2 linked regions of the Drosophila melanogaster genome follow. The protein of the gene in region 1 purifies or fractionates together with the protein of each later gene. This does not show direct contact. Each region holds a gene or a part of one and is shown on either strand. Other genes may lie near its edges.

Region 1 (11,227 bases):
AAAGAGGATCGCGATCAACGGGACACCAGTTCGATCGCGGCAGTGTGTGTGCGTGTGCGGGAGTGTAACAAATACGAAAAACGAAAAGTCGCTGCGAAGGTAGATCTCATTATTATTGTATTGTTGTCATGTTTTTGCTTTTGCCCCCGATCTTCATTTGCGATCTTTTGAGTTTGGCTTTCGTATTATCTGTAGATATATCAATTGCTTAAGTACTTAGATCTTACAAAAGAATACCACACCATACACAAACACACGCACACACTCAGCAAAATGCATTAAGCCTAAACCCAAAAAGAAAACAGCAAAAGAGACCCACAAAAATGACCGATGTAAATTGTCTTACAAGTGAGCACATTGCACCCACAACGACCACTGCGAGTCCACCAGGAACTCCCTCCAAAAATGCGGCCACGGATCCCGTCGAGCCCACATCTCCGTTCGTTCTGAGAGCACCGCCCAGCGCCAAATCCAAACTGATACTCCAGAACATGGAGGAAGTGCTGAACTCGGTGAAGCAGAAGCATCGGGAGAAGCACAAGCGAAAGCGGGAGGAGAAGCGCCGCGCAGCACTCATGGAGGACCAGAAGAGCACCACCGAGGAGGTCAAGGCGAATGCCAAAGAGAAACCGCAGCCACTTCGCGAGAAATCCTCCCAAGAAAACGGTCTCAAGAACGGTCGGCGGCGGTCCAGTCCGCTGAAGTCCAGCACTCCGGTGGCCGACAATCAGAGCATCATGAAGCACTTCGCCAAGGCGGGAAAGCCGGAGAACGTGGGTGTTTCTCCGGTGAGCACAGCCAAACCGAAGCCAACCACCAATGTCTTTGAGTTCATGATGAATGCTCGGAATCGCTCTCTGGGGGTTAATGAAGGTGGGGCAGAATCTCCCGCGGATCAAGAAATCGGCAGTGAGGCAGCAACGCCGACCACCAAACGGAAGCTTCTCCTCCAAGAATGGAACGAACGCAAGGGGGGAGCCAAGAGAAGACTAGCGGACGAAGCTCGCGGGGAGTTCATTGAGCTGCAGATGGAGCAAAGGGCAAAGAGGTGAGTTTGATTAAGAATTAGATTCAGAGCGCTATACAACATTTTATTTCCCTAGACTGCGAAAAATGCTGACCAAGACTGACGCCAAAGAGGTGACGGCTCCATCCTCGGCACCCACGGATCCAACAGTCAAGCGTCTAAGAGGTCGACCGCGCTCTCGACGAATCAGTTCCATGGATGCACAGAACCAAATTGTGGAATCGAAGCCCCCGGTCGTGAAAGCAAAAGATCAAGATCCAGGAACAGAGGAGCTTCTCTCGAAGCTTTCGTCGCCCACGAAAAAGCGTGACAGCCTGCTGGGCTACTTTCCCAAAGTGGAATCCCCGAAGGAGTTAGCTGAAAAGGTGATCATTGCGATAGAAACCCCACCCATGGAGACACCCAAGCGAAGAACACTGCGCAGAAAGAGCCAGCAAGAGACACCCATTGTAGCCGAATCCACTCCCTCGTCAAGACCAAGACGATCGTGTGTGGGCAAAGCGCGCTACGATTACGATCTGGAAACGAGTCCCGGCAAGCAACAAAAGGCGAAGCCCCAAAAGGCAGACGAGTCTGTAGAGATTATTGACCTAGACAATAGTAATCCAGCTGCCACACCAAAGAAACTAGCGCCGCTATTCGTCCGTCAATTGCCAAAGCCCAGCCCAGATCCGTCGGTTTTGAAGGCTCGACAGGCGTTTCTGCAATCCGGAGTTCCGGACAAAATTCGACAGGAGCAGATCCGTCAAAAGAACTTCGACCAGATGTACGAAGATAGCTATGAAGTGTTTCCCAGACTGGCGCATATAGGCTGCGAGAGCTTCGGTTCAAAAAACGGTCCTCTGGACATTCCCTTTGCTCTGAGGGCAGAAGAGGAATATTCCGAGGTTACGAAAGCGTTACCCGCCAACAAACGACGTGCCAAAGCGAGTAGCATCACCAGCTGTCTGCCCGCGGATTTTACATCCAGCAAAACTTTGAACAAGTTCAACTATGCAACTTTGCCACAGCTGGAAAATAAACGTGGCTTTGTGAAGCTCTGGAAGAATGATTTCGATCGGTTTCCCACCTTTAAGTGCTATAACCAGATGAGGGAGAAGTATCGCCACTTCAGCGCCATTGACAGTGCACAGGATACGCAGCAAATGGGAGAATCACTGGTGGTAACACGTCGCACTCGCCGTTCAATGGAGCAGAATATGGCACAGAACGAAGAGGAGGCGAAACCACCGCCTTCCGCTCCGAATGGCGAGCTGCTCTTTACGGAGAAGTACAAACCGCTGCTGTTCGAACAGGTTCTGGTGAATCTGACGCCAGTGCAGGAGCTTAGGGAGTTCCTGTCCAGCTGGAGTGGCAATGGAGGTAGCAATCGAAACTCGCAGGGCATGGATGACACCTTTGACATGAGCAATGATTCGGCATCAATGGGCTCAAGTAGCAACACGATGGTTCTGGTCGGACCTTCATCCAGCGGGAAGACCAATGCCGTTTTTACCTTAGCCAACGACATGAACTTTAATGTCTTGGAGATAAATGCAGGGATGAAGAGGACGGGCAAGAAGCTGATACAGGAACTTCAAGAGGCCACGCAGTCGCATCAGATAAGGAAAGATGGTAAAGCGGGTGGAGGATCCTCACAGCAGTTGCTTCAAAAGTTGCAAAAGAGTGGATTAAAAGCAAAAGCAGCCGCAGTGGAACCTCCTTCCGAAGTACGGAAGTCTCTGATCCTAATCGAGGATGCGGATATCTTGTTTGATAACTTGGACGCTGGATTTACGGATGCCATTTATACATTGGCCGCCAGTTCCAAGAGGCCGGTCATTGTGGTTGCCACGGATCCGAATTGCGCGCACTTGCAGCGCCTAATGCAGCAGAATATAATCCATTTCCAAGCTCCGAACGCATTGAACATCTCCCGATTCTTGGCCGTTTTATCGCTAATGGAAAACTGTCCCATCGAGTTGGACGAATTGATATCCGTGTATCTATACAATCAACAGAATCTGCGCAAGACGTTGATGGAACTTCAGTTCTACATTCAGAGTGGTGGAGATTCAACTCGCGATAGGACTGGCGGTGGGATTAAATCACCAACCAAAACCTCAAATAGCCGGCTGGCCACCGTCGATGGCAGTCGAATCCATCAGAGATTCTTTGAGTTCTTTACAAGCCCGCAGAATGTCCAGTATCGAATACCCTTTCCCGTTGACTTCAGCCTCTTGCGTTTGAATCTCCCCGATCTTATGGCTAGTTCGGCGATGCTAAAGGAGCAGCAGGCAGCGGGCGGTGGAAGTAGAACCGCTGCCAAGCGGAAGTCCCGCTCACCAAAGAAGGCCTGGCTGAGCAGCGCCACTGGGCAGAAGTCCGATGGGCACAGCTCATCGCTCGCCACATTGGCATCCTTCTATGACAACATTTCGGTGGCTTCGTTGATGGACTCCGACTGCAGTGATCGCTTGCAGTGGCACCTGTCCGAAGAAATCGGTCACCTGCTGGTGGAGCAGGCTCTCCAAACTGGACTCGCGACCAAGGAGTGCCCCTACAATCTATTTGATAAGCCGGTTCAGAGGTAAGATTTTCAAAATGATGAGTTACTCTTTAACTAAGCCAATATATAAACACTTTAATATCAAAAGATCTTTATTAACAATATCTATCTGTATCTATATCTATTTTGCTTTAAACACATTTTAAGGCTTAATAATGCTAACTTAATTAGCTGTCATGGCAGTAATCGATGGAAAAAGGAAACCGGGGTTTTGTTATCATCCAGCAGTCATAATAACAACTAGTCACAAGATATCTTTAGCGTTCGGAATTCTAATAGCCTTGTCATAAAAATGACCGATCTTATAACTATCTTAGGAACACACCTATTCATTAAATTAGTGCCCAGACTTTTCACTAATTAGATACCAAACTTATTTTAGTTATGCTTTAATTTTTTCATTTTTTATAACTTTCTGTAATCTTTCCAGGTTTTCAATTTGCCAGCACCTGGGCAACGGAGTTCTCCGTTCCGACTCCGCCAAATCGCTGGACTTCGAGCCCGCCCTGCGCTCCATATGCCGCAGCGAAAAGGAACGGGCAGGACTGGAACGGAAGTCGAGTAGATTCTATCACTATCTGCGCAACCACACGGTAAACGTGACCAGTTTCACGACGGATTACTTTGACACTGCATGCAGTACGTTCCAATCGGCTGCCCCCAGCAGCGAGCCAACCATGGAGGCCGAACCGAAAGATTAGGCATCGTTTGGATTTAGTTTAATTTTTTTGAAATTGGTGGAGCAGCTCCGCCGGCTTTGTTTGCAATTTATTCAGATCGTTTAAGAAGAGTTGATCTTTTTTAAGATAGCTTTGTGGACATGAAGATGTAGCTATTATGAGATAAACCTAGAACTATTTACAATTTAACTATGATAAACTAACTACGACCTCATCCTATGTTAATAAATCAATCAAATGACATGTAAACCTATGACTAGCAGCAACAGAAACCGGAGGAGCTATTCTTCGCGGGTTCGGGATCTTCGGATATTGTGTTTGCCGTCGGCTTTGCTGCACCATTGGACGTTGGCTGCACTTGAATGGGTGCAGCTGAGTTGATTTCTCCGATTTTGTAGTTCTTTAGATCCTTTTCTGCGTCGGAGGAATGGCCTGCCTGCTTGAAGGCCTTGGTGGCATCCTTGCCGCCATATTCGAGTAGTGCTTCACTGCCGCCAGGATGCTCGCCGAGGAACTTGGTTACATCGTACACGTTCCCCTTGATGATCAGCCAGCAGGGTTTGCCATTCTTGCCGTTCTGCTGGGCCACCTCCGAGAGTTCGTACAACTGTGACATATTGCTGATTTGATTTCCTAATTGCTTTCCGCTGTTCGCGAATGTCTTTTAATGGCTGCTGTTAATTTGCGTTTAATAAGTCGCGCTCTTGATTCGATAATTTTAGGAGCTGTTAACCGTTGGACGGACTCGGAAACACTGGACGCGTGCCAAGGGGCGACCCTTGCTTATGTTTAACATTTATCAATAGTTCAAACAATCGCCTAGATCGCTTGTACTTGCCTTGTACCTGTTCTCCCCCATTTCCCCCTCGACGGGCAATTACTATTTGCTGTTTTATTTCAGTTATTTCCACAATCTGTCTGCATTGTGGTTGATAAGAAATACGTGAGAATTTCACCGTCTTTCAAGGCGACCTGCTACTAGTGTGGGCAGTGACCAATCTCCTTTTTTTGGGTGGGATTTGTGCAAATCATTAATGCAAATGGATGGCGCGAGTTGTCATTGAGTGGGTTTCTATCGTTGGTGAAATCTAAGCACAGTTTATGATTCACTTGAACACTTCCCGTTGAGTAATTTATGGTGGGAATTTTCTTTGAGTTAGTTATGTCCATTAACTTCGACACCATTTATTGATAACTGGAACATTGCAGGGTTCATATCGTACAATCAGTCAAACCCAAAATGCAATAATGTGTGTCAAGTGCCAATCAAAGCTAAAAGTTTCCAGTTGACAACAAATTTGGTTGCTTAAAGAAAAAACGGTTTTTATGTTTTCATAGTTATGTTCTATATATTTTGGAAATATATTTTAAATTTGCTTTCATTTTTCCCATTTTTGTTTTTTTGCTTTTAATGCTTTTGCGTTTTATATGAGACAACAACAATAATTGGTATTCAATTAATATATATATGTATTTAGATATATATCGATTTTTATTCCGATTTTTGTATATTAGACGTTTTGCATAATGCGCTTTAAAAAATTTCGCTAGTATTGGGTGCACTTTGCCTGCAGGGATCAAAAATCAAATTCGATTTTCTGGGAAGTGGGAGATGGTAGATGGGATGATTTTGATCTCGGATGGTTTCGAAAAGTTGTTGAGAAACTGTTTGGGATTGGGTGTGGTTACATTAACATAATGCTCCGCAGCGCATTGTCCTGCATTCGGTGTATTTACAAATGAATCTCTATACTTTTCTTGTTATTTACTTTATTTATTTAGCTTTTGTTATATATATATTTATATATATCAGTCGACGGTTTTGCATTTTCGAAACGCAGCTCGTGTGCGCTTTCATTTGTATTCTCGATCTAAACGTACAGATACAATATAGTAATAAATATCGTATATATAAAGTGTAAAATTAATTACTTGTCAATGATTGTTGATTTATTGAATTAATCGATCTGCTTGAATTTAAAAAAATCGTAATTCAATCAATTGATTTACTATAATTTAATCGATTTGTTTCATTTCATTTGATTTACTTAGTTTCCGTTTAGTTTCGCTAAACATAATTCGTAGACTTGATCTTCGTTTAGAATTTAATTTTTAATTTAAAAAACAGTTTTGGAGGTAGTTGAAATTAGGCCTGTTTGTATAAATGTGTATATGATTCTCCGATCAAACGAGTTTAATCGCTTCGATATTTAGCTGGACTTAATTTGTTTAGAACTAATTAAGTGATTAAATTCTACGCGTTTAATTTAGTTATTCATTGTCTCCGGTTTTCTCTTCGTTCTGTGATATTTCGGGCTATTTCCGGTTGCATTACTTTAAGTATTCTTTGATCCATAGACATCGAACTATATCGTTATGTATTTAAAATGTAGGCTTGTAGGACTTGTTGGCGTAGTAAAGTGTTTTCGTTTTCCATTATTTTGCATTTGTTATCATATTTTCCTAGTTTCTCGCATTCCATTTCTCATCTAAATTGTTGGTTAAATGTGTTTTAAACTTGATTTAATGGATCGTGAGTTCTTGAAACCATTTTTTGTTTTTCCTTCTCTTTGATAATTTCAATATAAAATGTTTGGGGCAACAAGGTGCACGGGTTGTTTGAAAAATTACGCATTTTTGGAATTTCAGAAATTCGTGAAATTATAGACTAATAAATAAGGCTGGATATCTAAACAATAAAAGCTCTGAGTTGCTTAATTGTGCTTATAATATACATTGCAATGGGACTTTTTCTTAACTCTTTGATTTTCCTAAACTCAGAACGTAAAAATATAATGCCAATCTAATTTTAAATAAACCGCCAAAACTCGACCAGAGTTACACTTGAAAATGCACGATCGCCCGTTGTTGCCAGACTGCAATTGGTTATCGATAACTTCAGTTTCATCGATCGTTACGTTTTAAATTTAAAATTCAAAATGTATCCCGCTAAAATCCGAAATCAAGATTAGCTGCAGCCAATTTAAAATGAAAACAATAATTTCTCTACAATTTGGTTTACATAGATTTCATTTCATTTTTTGTTTTTTTTTTTCTTTACATCGTAATTCCGTTAGCAAATATACAAATACAAATTTCAATTGAACTAAAAATTGTTTGTTTGTGTGTGTTTTCGTGTGTTCCAGCACATGGGCCTTGCGTACAATAATAATAGGGGATAAGGGGATTTGGATAGGGGGGTGGGGGTGGGGGATAGAGTATAGTTAAGAGTTGGTTGGCTTCGATTTAAAACTAGAGTTATTGAAACTAAAGTGTATACAATATTCATTCATAAAATTACAATTACATATTCACTTATGTGTTGTTATTTACTTTCCTCATTCCCTTTCTTCAGTTTTTATGGTATTGTGTCTGTCTCTTTCAAGTTTGTTGCTTTCTTGGTTTTTACAAAAACGTTCTCGACTTATTACTTTTATCAAGCGACGAATGGAAATAATGTTACATAACTTAAAAATGAACCTTCTACGGTCTGTGGTGAGTGCTTAAAAGGCGGCAGCGCAACTATACATATGTCTTCTCCGTATCATTCTCTAACTTTTCTTTCCTCTCGTTACTCAAATTTACAAATTAAATTCTGACTAATAAACAGTCTTTTCGTACCAGCGCAAAAGTTGGCGACAGACCTACATTAAATAAATCTGTTAAACTTTAACATAATAGATAAACATAGGCTAACATAAAAAAAATATATGTATATATATATATATATATATGTATATATATATATTGGAGGTGCCGCACAAATCTCTGGAGATTCGACAACAAAAGATAAGTATTTCACTAAATTTGGCAATATTTTACCTCAAGTAAAGCTTTTTAGACACAAGACCTGCGGTAAGTTTACAAATTATGATCAAATACCATGCAAAGTCTTACGGTTTGAGAAGTTCAAATCGGCTAGTGAACTGTTGAAACTTAACTAATGTTCTAAAATCTCCAGTGGTTTCCGCACCACCAGATTTGTTTAATGTAGTTAAACTTAACACGAGCTCAGTTATGAGTTGGCCGCACAGTGGCTGCAATTTCGGCCATTGCAGCTGCAGTGGTAGCTCATCATGCTAGAGTTGGAATTATTGCGGCTCATCGTGGTCAGCGGGAGATCCCCCGTCGCTCCGGCGGCAAAGGAAGACTGAGTGGTGGCTGTAGTTGTGGTTGTCTCGACGGCGGCTAGGCTGGCGGTACTGCTGCTACTCCCGCTGCTGCTACTTCTCAGCGGCTGTAGGCCAGCTCCGATTGGCACGGAGACGGACAACGGTGGTGTGGGTATCCGTTCGGGACTGCAGTTGCCGCTTGTTCCGGTTCCCAGGCTCGTAAGCAGTTGCGTGCTCGGTCCCAGGCCTGCATAGATCCCGCTGGGATTTGTGCCATAGCCACAGGCCGTGCTTTTCAACAGGGATGCATTGGACACCGGCAGCGTAGGCGCAGCAGCCAGTGAGGAGGCTGACGACGAGGTGGACACACAGGCGGAGGAAGCAAGCGAGGAGGCGGACGACGACATGGAGACGGAGGATGCTGGGGAAGCTGTGGCGACCGAGGTCATTGTACAGCTCGGCGGCGACTTGGGCGAACTGATCCGCGAGAAGAACTTGGTTATGGCATTCGGCTTCGATTTGCTGGACGATGAGGAGGCGGACACTGACACGCCCGCTGGCGTGTACGTTGAGGAGGCGGCCTGGAGCGTGGTGAGACGGTAGCTGGAGCTGGAGACGCCACAGCCGCCCGCCGAGATCTGCTCGGGCACATCCCGCACTGTCTTGTTGGGCGGCGGCTTCGTGTATGATCTGGTGATCTCCGATTGCTGTTTGGGATCAAAGCCGATTAGTTAGTATATGGCTGTAAGGTGTATTTAAGGTAACCTACCTGATAGCTGCTCCTGATCTGCAGGTGTCGATCTTGTCCGTACTCGCTGTCCGGCAGTGGTACGTGATGGGGACAGCGGGGAGTTTGCTGCTGCTGCAGCTGGTACTGGTAATGTTGGTGGTGGTCGTTGCTATGGCTCTGCAGCGAACTGCACGAGGATCCGGTTGAGGAGTTGCCGCAGTCGCCCTTGTAGCAACCACTACCGCTCCCGCTGCCCGTGTTTCCGTACTTCAGCGTGGTGGCTTCTATGCCGCCGCGCGCCACATTACTGCTAATACTATTGTTGTTGTTGCTGCTGCTGCTGTTGCCCAGCTGGTGTTGCTGATGGTGGTGTTGGTGGTCACCGCCTGCTGCTGCTCCTCCTCCTCCGCCGCTGCCGCCACTGGAGTTGTGCGTGCTTGGAGTTGTCATGCGTTGTTGCTGGTGGTGGGAATGTTGTTGCTTGTTGCTGCTACTGCTGCTGTGATGGAGATGGTGTTGCTGCTGATGCTGATTGTTGCCGGCGCCGCGAATCACAGTCTCGCCACGTACAGCCAGAAGCTCACGTGCCTGGAGCGCATCCACGCGCATTCTACATCTAAATTGATCCCTACAATTAAAGTGAAATTAAATTAGCATGGATTTGTATGTATATAGGTATTAGAAAGGATTTCATTTAAGCTATTATAAGAATTTTCTGCTTTGCAATAGGGAGTACTTCGACTTCGACATACCTATCATCGGGTGGTGTGCTCAAAGATGTGCGGGTCGGAACGCCGAGCCGCTCCATTCCCGCGCAGCCGGCCGTCTGTACCGATAGCATCTGTAATAAAGTGAAACCACAATTAGCATAAAGTCAACTGAAGGGCTTAACAATAATATATATTGAGAGAGACCTAAAGGTACAGGCCACCAGTCTCCCCCTGCTCGTCCTGACAGCTCTCCACATCACTCAAAGTCTGAAAGCCCTCCAGCATGAGCCATCTTTTGGCCACCCGAAGGGTGCACATGACCAAATCGTAATCGTACTCTCTACCCTCGTAAAACTCAATACATATCTCCATTTCGTTGAATTTATTCGGTTTTAGTGTCTTGAACTTCAGGTTACCCGTGTAGTGAATATTTTTTCGCATTACAAAGGGCTGCTCCACAAAGAGTACCGATTGCATCCAAAGCGATTTGAAAGGCGACTTTAAGCAGGGATTACAGCTCAGCTTAAAGTTTAAGCTATTACTAAACTGCACTTCGAAAAAGAGAAGAAAGCACTCGAGATATCCCTCTCTATTGACACTTAGTCTAATGTTTCGATCTATAAACAGATCCTCTCTTCTGGCTCTTTTCAAATCTAGTCTGAGAACGCAATGAGCCATCGTCAGAAGTTTTTTGCCGGTCGTTAGGGCCACACAAGGTTCAGCCAGCGCATATCGACGTATGGCATTCATATTAAATCCGTAGACATTGCGCCAATGATTGCATCTTTCGCTCTTCAGTTTGTGTTCCTCGGATGCAACCAGATAAAGAGCTGCCAGATCGGGTAGAATAAAGCCGCCTTTCTTTAGCCAGCGATCACGCGCCTCGAGCACCTCCAATATCTCCGATTCGTAGAGCAAACAGTAACCCATCCAGTTGCATATGATGCCATCTACTTTCGTCGGGAGTTTAAGATCCTTCATGCGACCATTCATGACCGTGATCACACCTTCATAGCCATTTTGCCGCACCACCAAGGTTGTATAGCCAGTCACCTTGGAGTAGTCCACGGCGTACACCCTTTTTGCTCCCATTTGGGCTGCCATAAGGGCCAGTGTTCCAGTGCCACAGCAGAGTACCAGGATTGTGCGATCCTTGATGAGATGCCGTTGGTGATGGATGACAGATTGAAAGAAGTACATGTGTGCCTGATCCTTCTGCCGGTTTCGCATTACATCCAGACGAGCGGCGGTATCGTGTCGGAAATCCGCTGAAGTCATGCGATCCAGATCCTCCAGTTCTTTGGGCACCTTTCTTGGCGGCGCGGGAATTCGGCCAGCGGATCGAACTCGCGTTTTGCTCCGTGCTTGGGTAGCATCCTGGGGATTAGGTCTCTGCAGTAATGATATTTTGATATCGCTA
Region 2 (11,224 bases), on another chromosome or scaffold:
TCAGTGTATAAATAGGTTCTCTGAATATATAATCGTCAAGTCGTAGGATAGTATTTCCAACGCCAGCTTCATTCATTTTAATTCATTTGTGTGTTCAAATAAAATGCATGATAATAACTCGGTAAAATACAAATATCGTCCCATTAAAAAGAAGGAAATGAATGTTGATTAGGAGGTCATAAACGGTCATTTTAAATTGCAAAATTCACATACGAGATAAAAAGTTTGCCAAAATGAAAACTTAAAAGATTGCCTTAAATGCATCGATTTATGTCCATTGATTTATGACATTTGCTTTTCTCTATTTCGTACAGATGTGTGCCCTACTGCAAGGGATGTAGTCGAGGAACCTGCCAATCTCCTGGCCGCTGTATCTGTTCCGCGCGCCATCTGCTGGACAAAACGACAAACAACTGCATACCCCAATGTGCTAGTGGTTGTCCCAATGGGACTTGCATAACGCCCAACAATTGTAGTTGCAACAAAGGATACAAGCTGAATCCAACCACCCAGGTGTGTCTGCCAACGTGCAAGGATAACTGCGCGGCAGTCAATGGCTTCTGCGCGGCTCCGAATCGCTGCGAGTGCAATCCAGGTTTCATTCCCAAGCCAAAGTCCAAATCGTTTGAGTGTCAGCCGAAATGCAAAAATGGCTGTAGCAACGGAGTTTGCCGGGCTCCCGACAAATGTGAGTGCAACAAATTCTACGAAAAGGACATCGATGGAAACTGCGTTCCAATCTGCGAAAACGGATGCGTGAATGGAAACTGCACTGCCCCGGACGTCTGTCAATGCCTGACGGGATATACGAAAATAGGGCACAATGTCTGCTTGGCCGTTTGTCCCGAGGGTTGCCAGAACGGAGTCTGCGTGGCGCCCAACGAGTGCTCCTGCAACGCCGGGTACACGAAGCTGGAAGGTGTCTGCACTCCTGTTTGCAAGGATGGATGCGTGAACGGATTCTGTGCTTCTCCAGAAAAGTGTTCCTGCAATGATGGATATGAAATGGACAGTGAAAACAGATGTTCTCCAGTTTGCTCAGGTGGGTGCAAGAACGGATTCTGTGTTGCCCCAGGAAAGTGTTCCTGTGATGAAGGATACATCAAGGGAACAGGAAACAGTTGTAAACCAATTTGCTCAAAAGGATGTGAGAACGGATTTTGTGATGCACCAGAAAAGTGTTCCTGCAATGATGGATATGAAATGGACGGTGAAAACAGATGTTCTCCAGTTTGCTCAGGTGGATGCAAGAACGGATTCTGCGTTGCCCCAGGAAAGTGTTCCTGTGATGAAGGATACAGCAAGGAAACAGGAAACAGTTGCAAACCAATTTGCTCAAAAGGATGTGAGAACGGATTTTGTGATGCACCAGAAAAGTGTTCCTGCAATGATGGATATGAAATGGACAGTGAAAACAGATGTTCTCCAGTTTGCTCAGGTGGATGCAAGAACGGATTCTGTGTTGCACCAGGAAAGTGTTCCTGTGATGAAGGATACAGCAAGGAAACAGGAAACAGTTGCAAACCAATTTGCTCAAAAGGATGTGAGAACGGATTCTGTGATGCACCAGAAAAGTGTTCCTGCAATGATGGATATGAAATGGACGGTGAAAACAGATGTTCTCCAGTTTGCTCAGGTGGATGCAAGAACGGATTCTGTGTTGCCCCAGAAAAGTGTTCCTGTGATGAAGGATACAGCAAGGAAACAGGAAACAGTTGTAAACCAATTTGCTCAAATGGATGTGAGAACGGATTCTGTGATGCACCAGAAAAGTGTTCCTGCAATGATGGATATGAAATGGACGGTGAAAACAGATGTTCTCCAGTTTGCTCAGGTGGATGCAAGAACGGATTCTGCGTTGCCCCAGGAAAGTGTTCCTGTGATGAAGGATACAGCAAGGAAACAGGAAACAGTTGCAAACCAATTTGCTCAAAAGGATGTGAGAACGGATTTTGTGATGCACCAGAAAAGTGTTCCTGCAATGATGGATATGAAATGGACAGTGAAAACAGATGTTCTCCAGTTTGCTCAGGTGGATGCAAGAACGGATTCTGTATTGCACCAGGAAAGTGTTCCTGTGATGAAGGATACAGCAAGGAAACAGGAAACAGTTGCAAACCAATTTGCTCAAAAGGATGTGAGAACGGATTCTGTGATGCACCAGAAAAGTGTTCCTGCAATGATGGATATGAAATGGACAGTGAAAACAGATGTTCTCCAGTTTGCTCAGGTGGATGCAAGAACGGATTCTGCGTTGCCCCAGGAAAGTGTTCCTGTGATGAAGGATACAGCAAGGAAACAGGAAACAGTTGCAAACCAATTTGCTCAAAAGGATGTGAGAACGGATTTTGTGAAGCACCAGAAAAGTGTTCCTGCAATGATGGATATGAAATGGACGGTGAAAACAGATGTTCTCCAGTTTGCTCAGGTGGATGCAAGAACGGATTCTGTATTGCACCAGGAAAGTGTTCCTGTGATGAAGGATACAGCAGGGAAACAGGAAACAGTTGCAAACCAATTTGCTCAAAAGGATGTGAGAACGGATTTTGTGATGCACCAGAAAAGTGTTCCTGCAATGATGGATATGAAATGGACAGTGAAAACAGATGTTCTCCAGTTTGTTCAGGTGGATGCAAGAACGGATTCTGTGTTGCACCAGGAAAGTGTTCCTGTGATGAAGGATACAGCAAGGAAACGGAAATCAGTTGTGCACCTTTTTGTAAGGACGGGTGTGTCAACGGGCTTTGCGTTTCTCCAGATTTTTGCAAGTGCGATGACGGTTACATTTTCGTTGAAGAAAGTAAAAGTTGCCAGCTTGACAAGGAGCTACTTGGGGATTATTCAGATTGTGATAAGAACTGCCGAAATGGAACCTGCGTCGAAGGAATTTGTACTTGTAGTAAACAATATAAGCTGCATAGGAATGAGGACGACAACAATTTGATCTGTCTTCCGATTTGCGAACCCGAGTGCCTCAATGGGCTCTGCGAATTTCCGGGTTCTTGTGTCTGCTGGGATGGTGAGAGTCCGATAGATGGATACTCATGCCAATCTATGGATTCACTTGGGTCCCTTACAGGCCATGAAAAGAGTGAAAGACACTTGAAGTGGGTATTTATAACGATTGTTTCTATGGCCTTCATCTTGGCAATAATAACCACCATGCTGATTATTTATATATTTAGGAAACGCTCATATCACGTGGACAAGAATGGTAAGCCATGTTTCAAACAGTTTTTGAATAACTTAATGATTTTTCTCGTTTTCAGAGAGGGAGTTCGGTGTATATTTCTCTCCCAATAAGGTTGATATCATTCGAGCCTGAGCTTTAGCGGGAAGTCAGCAATATTCTCATTATACAATAAAAGTTACTGATAAAATGAAAAATGGATATTCGTTAATGATTTTTATTACAAATATTGAAAGAATTTGGGGATGGCGTACTACAAGTTAACAATAATAGATATCACTCAACTATTCTTTTTTGCCAAGTATCTCCTTTGGACCATAAAGTTGCTGGGGCGTTGGTATGTCCTCAACGAAAAAGTTGGCTGGTATTAAATGAAAAACCGTAGACATTACATCATAAAGGATATTTTCCACCGTCTCAACGATGAGTGGTTTCAGGGCCTCGTAGAAATCCCGCCAGTTTTCATTGAAAAACTCATTCGTACTGCGCTCCACCTCCTTGCTACGTCCATTGAATAGATTGTCCAGATAAGTGCGCACTTTGGACAGATTCAGTTGAACCTGCACAGCGGTCACGTTGTCGAAGGTGAAGCCACCCTTTTCATACAGACGTATTTTTGTTAGTAGCAAAATGTCAAGATCATCTGCGGGAATTTAAAAGTGTTAGCTGCCCATTTGCACCCGCATTTAAATATCGATAGAAATCTAATTACCAATCTCAATAAATATTTTGCCAGAGCCACTCAGTGGTATAAGGAGTATTCGTCCAGCCATTTCATACCTTCCATCCAGTCTCATTTTCGGAAGATATATTTTGGTCTGCCAGCTAAAGTCTTTCTTGCTCACACTGGTGGTCGAAAAAAGATATTTATATATTTGTTCCGCAAAGTTGCAGAGATTTATTGACTCCAAAAGCAGCAGTATAAATATACATAATTTATCTGTAGGACTTTCATATTCTTTGTACTCACCGACTCTCCTTGACCTTTGTGTTGGCAAAACCCTTGACCACCAGGTCAGTCAGATTGGCTCTGATGGTGGCCACCTCGTTGTTATCCTGCTTGAAAACTATATCCCTAACTCTCATGGGATCAAAGGGACCGAACCGCTCGAGCACCTCTGGTATTCCAATGTTCAACTGATCAAGAAGCTTCTGAATGCTATTCGTAGAGCACTTGGTGAAGCCCGGTTCGTAGATCCGACAAGATGGCAGAAAGGCAGCTGAGCAACACGATTTGCTAACATTGAAAAGAACTGCGACTCTGAGGACATCTACTTACGTTTTTCGGAGTAGTAGGCAACGGCTGAAACCAACGACCTATCCATGGCGATTTCATTCAGGCACAAAATGGCCAATAATCCACTCCAAATGCCGAGCAAAGTGCGGCCGTAGCGCGTGCTGCTCATGGTGTCGTTTTGGCAACTGTTTATTAATCAAGTAGTTAAGTATCTAAGTAGCTCAGCGAATAGTACTGTAGACGTATCGCGGTCTAGGCAGCCGCTGCTCAGTCACATCAAACAGTGTCACGCTTTGAAACCGACTAGCCGGCGACTTGCTGTGATCCGGCGTTTTATTCTCAACTGCCAAGATTCGAGATTTGGGTTCTCATATATGGTAACGACTTACAGCAACCTAACGATGCCGGGGCCAAGAGCAACTCATGTTGCTGAATATAATATCATTTTAATTCACCTATTTCCTGACTTAATAGCGAGTATACAGTGAGAAAAGTATCTAAAGATGAAAATATAATAGAAGCACTTTGAATGCAAAGATATGAAAATAATTTGTAATATAATTCTAATACAGTGCCACCAAAAAATAAATCAAGCATACACTACTACCCATTTAATACAAAACGACAGAGCACACGAACCCATTAAAATAACATAGAAGTACCGGATTATATGCTAATTTAGCATTTAGTGAAAGTCTTTAATCAAATAGGTAGCTGGTACATAGACAAAGGTCTTCTTGAACCGATCCAAAAGCACTCCGCCAACTGTTTGCTCCACCGCCGGACGCAGTACCTCAAAGAAGTCGCGCCAGTTTTCGTTGAACAAAATGTGTGCAGTATCCTCCAGATCCTTGTTGCCGCCAAAGAGATTTTCCAGCTTGATGCGGAATTGCTTGATCTCGCGGAAATTTACCTTTACACTTTGCACATCAGCGAAATAACCATCTGAGGTGGCCAGCGGTTTGACAGCCAATTCCAACAATAACAGAGCATTTTCTGAATAAAACCGGCTTTAAGATAGTAATTCGCATAAATTGTAGATTGCATCTTACCAGCTTCGAAGTATCCCTTGCCATGACCATTGAGATTCAGCGCTGAGACGTGTCCTTTGACTTTGTAATCGAAATTGAAACGCAACTTGGGCACGGAAATCAAAGTCCTGGCTACATAGTGATTTGGATCCCAGCTGAGAATTTTTAATGGTCAAACTTGATTTCGTCAGAATCTTTAAATAGGTTACCTGGATTCCAAGACTAATGCTTGACCAGCACCTGCTACATAGACTTCCTTCAGATCGGCATTGATAGCTATAGACCTGCTGGCATCCTGGGTAAATTTCACTCTCTTGATGTAAAAAGGATCAAAGGATCCCACGGCATTGTAGCCGGGAATTCCGTCCTTCCACTGACGGAAGAAACTCTGGAAGTTTTTGGTCAGACAGACATTAAAGTTGGGATCGCCCACGATACATGGGATTAGGAAGTCGGCTGAAAGTTGTACATTTAAGAATATTATTAACTTAACTCAACCAAAATATGTTGTATTAAATGTTTATTACGTTTCTCTGCCAGATATTTAGCTCCTTCGACTGCTGAAAGGAGTACGGCTACAATACTCAGGAACTTGGCAACTTTAATAAGCATCTTGATAATTTTATTCCAAAATGTGATGACTAGAACCGTTTTCTTTGAATGCTCTGATTGAAATGACGATTCTGTCTGGCCGCCGGTAATTTTATTCGAAATGGACCGCTCGAATGTATAACTTTTAAAATCATTTCTTTGTTTTGCCGATTTATATATATTTATTTTATTTATTTCGGTACAATTAGTAAGTAAACGAGTTTGGCCGCATTAGACTTGTTGTGGTCGTACAGGGTGCCCAAATCTTTCGATTCATCTGATGCGATACCCTAGCTCGAAAATGCATTAATTTTTATAATATTACTTAGCCTTTGCCTCGCCGGCGACTCCATTTCCAGTTGTAAAGTACTGTCATAATACATATATCTAGATACTTAGACATATATTCTATTCTATATATTCTATCTCACTTTCGCTGGAGCCGAACTGGTTCTACAAGATCATTAAGATGCGACGACTGTAATGCTGACGGATTTATTTAGTTTAGTAGATCTCTCTTAAGAATATATATTCCAATTAATTATAGGCGACAATTCTAGCAAACTATCTTTGCATATATGCATACTCAAGTGAGGAAAAGAAGCCAAGCGAATGTATTTATCTGCATGCAACCATGACCAAGGTCTGCGGTTCTTGGGTTAACGAACTTGTGGTTTTGACATAAGTACCTACACAGAAAACAACTAATTATGAATTATGTATCATGGGAATTTTCTTATTTTAAATACGCATACATTTTTATTCTTTGCCACAGTGAGACCTGAAAATCTGTGGTTCTGCATTATTATTTGATGAATATGCTATATGACTTGTTATTTGGTGTATTTTGCACAGTGTAGAATGTGATTTCAGATAGATGAATGCAAATCCCCCGAAATAAATGGAATAAATTCAGTATTATAATGTAGGTTGACAACTGTGTTTGTTTTGAATGTGGCTTGGGGATTTTGGCAATTTATTTTATATAAATTGGATCCTACTTAACTGGTTGTTTGTGAAATAAAAAGAAAACATCATATAAACTAATTTAAATTCTAGAAATCTCCAGAGATCTAGTCAAACCATCACATTTTTTTCTGCCTATCTATGACGTAATTTCAGCAACCTGTTTCTTTAGCCAAAGCATTGACTAGGTCAGTATGCCAGCATATAAGTTTTTGTATTGCTTTCTTTTCCTAGCTTCAAGTGTGAGTTTTGACAGGCTAAGAGAAATGGCTAAATAAGCTGTCAAATTGCATGTTGTGGATGCAGATTGCCATTGGCCAGTGCACTTAACTGGGAGCAAGGTGTTTGGACAGGTATTTGCAATCGATTAGCAGGTGGGGGGGAATTGACTTGCATAATTGGAATGCTTAGCAAGTGCAACACTTCCGCACCTCGCAGTACTGGCATTTTATTCTTTTCTGGATTGTAGATTTCAGTGATGCCAAAGGTACTTTTTAATTGTGTCTATGAAATAAACTTTAAAGATAACTAACACCTGATAAATCGATGTGAATTGTAAAAGTTTTTAGATGGCACTTGAAAACTATTTTACATCGCACTTTGTACCTCAAACTAGAGTGTGCCAATATGAGTAGGATATGGAGTGTAAGTGTACCAAGTGTACCTAGTTCTCATCACTGTTGCTGCTCTGATCTCATTGCGTATGCGTGAGTGTTGCGGTCTGGAAGCATAAATTGCTGGCCAAGAATTCGAGTAGACGACATTAACAACCTGATTGGAAATTGCTGCGCGTCGGCTTGCTGCTGGTAAGTGAATTACCTGTAGAGGTGAGTGAGTGGGCATATCGATCGGACGTAAGTACAGCTGGCCGACGACCGCTTTCGATTTCTATGCTGCATTCCAAGCCAAGTCGAATCGGTTCTCGGATCGGATCGGGAGCTCGGGCCTCGGTTAACGTATTCGTTTTCGTTTTCTGATCGCAGCTGATCGCCAGATCCAGAGACTTCGGCTTGAAGCTTTAGTTTCTGCCATGGTTTTTTCCCCTCTTGGCCCGCTTTTGCGAAATGTTGACTGCGGTATAAAAAGCGTTGCACGCCCTGATTTTCTTTTGAGTTTGTCGTTTCGATTCGCAGAGTCTCGAGTGCAAGTGCAGAACACATTTTCCATTTTCGCAGTGCATAACTACTTTGGGAGATTGGTGAAAACGGTTCGACATTGACAATTGGTTCTAAGCTTGGCAGCATGTTGAAATTGGTAAGATTCAGCAAGGTGGTTTATAGTGTTACATCTCCAAAGCTCGATATTCATATCGGTATGCAAAAGGTGTTTTCAGAATATGCGCAGTGAATTTTTAGAATGCAATTTAGCCAACCGGTTTGATCAGATCGGTGTCTATGATAAAGAGTAACTTAATTGGTGGTTCATTACTCAGCCATGTCCTTGAGTGAATGTTTGTGAACTGATAATCAGAGCAGCTAATTAAGGTATTTAGCCAAAAGTAAGGCAATAAAGGCAAAGTTCATGTATAATTGCTGACTTTACAGATGGGTGTGACCGAAATGGTGATTTAATGATACAAACGATTTGAGTCACTTTTTCACTCAACTCTTTGTTTTTCAATTTGCAGACCTTGAGCTTGGGTCTTCTGCTTCTGGCGGCCCACAGTGCGTATGCGCAACACCAGGACTACACCACACCGGTGCCCATTCTCAAGCAGATCGACAAGCACAACGACGATGGTTCCTACACATATGGATACGAAGCGGCCGATAAGAGCTTCAAGATCGAAACCAAGTACGCGAATGGAGAGGTCTATGGAAAGTACGGTTATGTGGATGACCAGGGAAAAGTGCGGGAAATAGAGTATGGAGCCAGTAAGCGTGGCTTTGAGCCCGCTGGCAGTCACATCAATGTGCCACCACCTACGCTGACCAACAGCAATCCCTATCCATTGGGACCCAACGAATTGGACGATGGCCAGTATCGTGAGGACCCCTCGGTGTACTACAAGGACCAGAAGTTCAATCGCCCCCTTTCACCGGCCAGTAAATTCAGTCTGAACGATTTCGGCCGCGGCCAGCAGCAGGCGTATGCCCCGCCACCTCGGCAGCCCGCCCCACAAACGCCCTACTACAATCCCACACCCCAATACTACAATCCCCCGGCTCCGCAGCCCCGTTACTACCAGCCTCCGGCCCAGAACTACTATAATCCCCAGCAGCAACAGCCATACAGGGGGTTGCCGGAGCAACATCATCCCTCCCTGCGAAATCTCAACCTCTACACCGGTTCCTATAGCATCGACTATACGGGCCGGAAGTAGGAAGGAGGACCTTTTGATGGGGGGATCACCTCTGAGTTGGGCCAGAGAGTCAGGGACTGAAGTGTCCGAGGACAATGTCAACTTGTTACTGCCAAATAAATCAGTCACTCCGCACACCCCACACATGTATCTATTACTGTACCTGTTTATATATGTTCTTGAATGTGTGTAATAAATCGAGTTTTGAAACCTGAAGCGTTTACAGAGAAAACGAAAGTGTTCTGAAATCATTAAATGTTTTGGTAATTGCTATGAAAATCAAAGGCAATTAGGGTGTTAAAGACAACTAGTAAACATTCAATCAATTTACGCTACCCTTTTCGCTGTCATTTACTGCTAAGTAATTATTCTCAGTGCTCAGAAGTATTTGAAATATCTGCTTTGGCATTCAATTTAGCCAACTACCAGGTTCCGCTTCAATTAAGCCGCCCCACAGCAGAAATTGTAGCAAAATCCAGCCGATTGAAATAAAGGCAAAGAGCCCAGCAAGTGGCCAATAATCGTTAGGCCATTACGTCAACACAGAATGATCGAGCCAAAACAACAAAAAACTACAAAAAAAAGGCAAGCATTGTGGCCGATTCAGATTGAAAACCAAAGTGGATTTGCTGTTGACTGGAATTTGGTGCACTTATGCAATGTGCTGGCCCCAAACCACTTTCAAATGCACTGCCACCAACGGCCGACCAGTTGGCCATAAGCTGTTGGCCATAAGTATGGTCTATGGTCTATGGTCTATGTACTTGGTGCTGGGTGGTGGCTCAACTGCCTTTGTCTTTTGGGTGTGGGGACTGCAGGTACTGGAAGAAGTGGCTTGAAGCTTGTTGGATAATTGGAAGTCACCCACGGATCAATGGCCAAACAATGAGCTTAAATCAGTGTGGTACTTAACTTTTCGTTAGCTTAAATAAGCTATTAATTAGGTAATTTAATTGAATTTGACTCAAATTTTCTGAAGGTTTTTCATTTTATTAAAACGGATGATTAGCAATTTATATATATGGTTACAGCAAACCCACAAAGTAGCTAATAAAGTAGCTGTTAAATAACTAAGAGCTATTCCCCGTTTAACTTTAAAGCCACTATTTATAGTTTGTCATATACATTCGGTTGTGTGAGCTATTCAAGTTCCTTTCCACTGTGCCAGTTGGCCAAGTCAGAAATTCAAAGCGTTTTGCTGGCGGCACCAACGAAGAATCAAGTCCAGACTGCACCTCTTAAAAAGCAGTGCACAAGCACACATTACAGGCTCTGAATTATTTGTATATGTATATATTTTCAGCATTTATATAATTCCGCAGAGCAAAACAGCGAAACTGGTCTGCTGCTGCTGGGGCGTTGGCATGACTCAAGAATTTCCTGCAAAACTGTCTACTTTGCCATGGCTGACTAGCGAACAGCTGCTACACTTACCACATTTTTTTGCAGCACCATTTTCTGAGGTGGCAAAAAGCCGTAGGTATGGAATTGTTATGATTCCCATTCAAAAATGCGTTGGCTGAGATGCCTCCGCGTTGGTCGAGTGTCGCATTGAAAATATGCTACTCCTTTGGCCCTGCATTCAATTGTATTGAATAGTTGGCTATCAATGGGGGAAATGTACAATTGTAAGCTGGAAATAAATGAATGAAATGCCAAGATTCAAGGAAGCATACCTAAAAAGATACCTTTAGCTCTATTGTGAAACCATTTCTAAAATTAAATTATGGTGCTTCAAATTTAAATACCGAATTTTTAAAAACATTCTCTTAAGTTTGTTGTTATATTCCGAAATATTTTTAGCGAACTCTTTCGACCTTGATCGTGGCAGTGCGTCTACGCATGCTCACAAGTTAAGGTGCACGCCCATTTGCCCCCCAGCCCGCTGCCCACGAACAAAAGCCGGA

The links.
Region 2: the proteins of CG5157 (region 1) and CG14259 purify together in Drosophila melanogaster (affinity purification with mass spectrometry, with the first as the bait; one large-scale study listed by BioGRID). This does not show direct contact.

The regions. Positions count from the first base shown.
Region 1 is NT_037436.4:16,132,191-16,143,417, forward strand, and holds CG5157 (uncharacterized protein), read right to left. Parts: upstream 5,690-11,227; 5' UTR 4,872-5,689; coding exon 4,512-4,871; 3' UTR 4,297-4,511; downstream 1-4,296. Other genes in the region: elg1 (enhanced level of genomic instability 1), read left to right, coding at 324-1,048, 1,104-3,596, 4,006-4,276; CG5151 (uncharacterized protein), read right to left, coding at 8,271-9,074, 9,137-9,725, 9,850-9,938; CG32152 (uncharacterized protein), read right to left, coding at 10,012-11,227.
Region 2 is NT_033777.3:27,088,025-27,099,248, reverse strand, and holds CG14259 (uncharacterized protein), read right to left. Parts: upstream 4,717-11,224; 5' UTR 4,597-4,716; coding exon 4,470-4,596; intron 4,411-4,469; coding exon 4,161-4,410; intron 4,037-4,160; coding exon 3,903-4,036; intron 3,834-3,902; coding exon 3,475-3,833; 3' UTR 3,393-3,474; downstream 1-3,392. Other genes in the region: eater, read left to right, coding at 315-3,214, 3,270-3,325; CG14258 (uncharacterized protein), read right to left, coding at 5,113-5,423, 5,480-5,613, 5,668-5,914, 5,986-6,070; Cpr97Eb (cuticular protein 97Eb), read left to right, coding at 8,258-8,269, 8,643-9,338.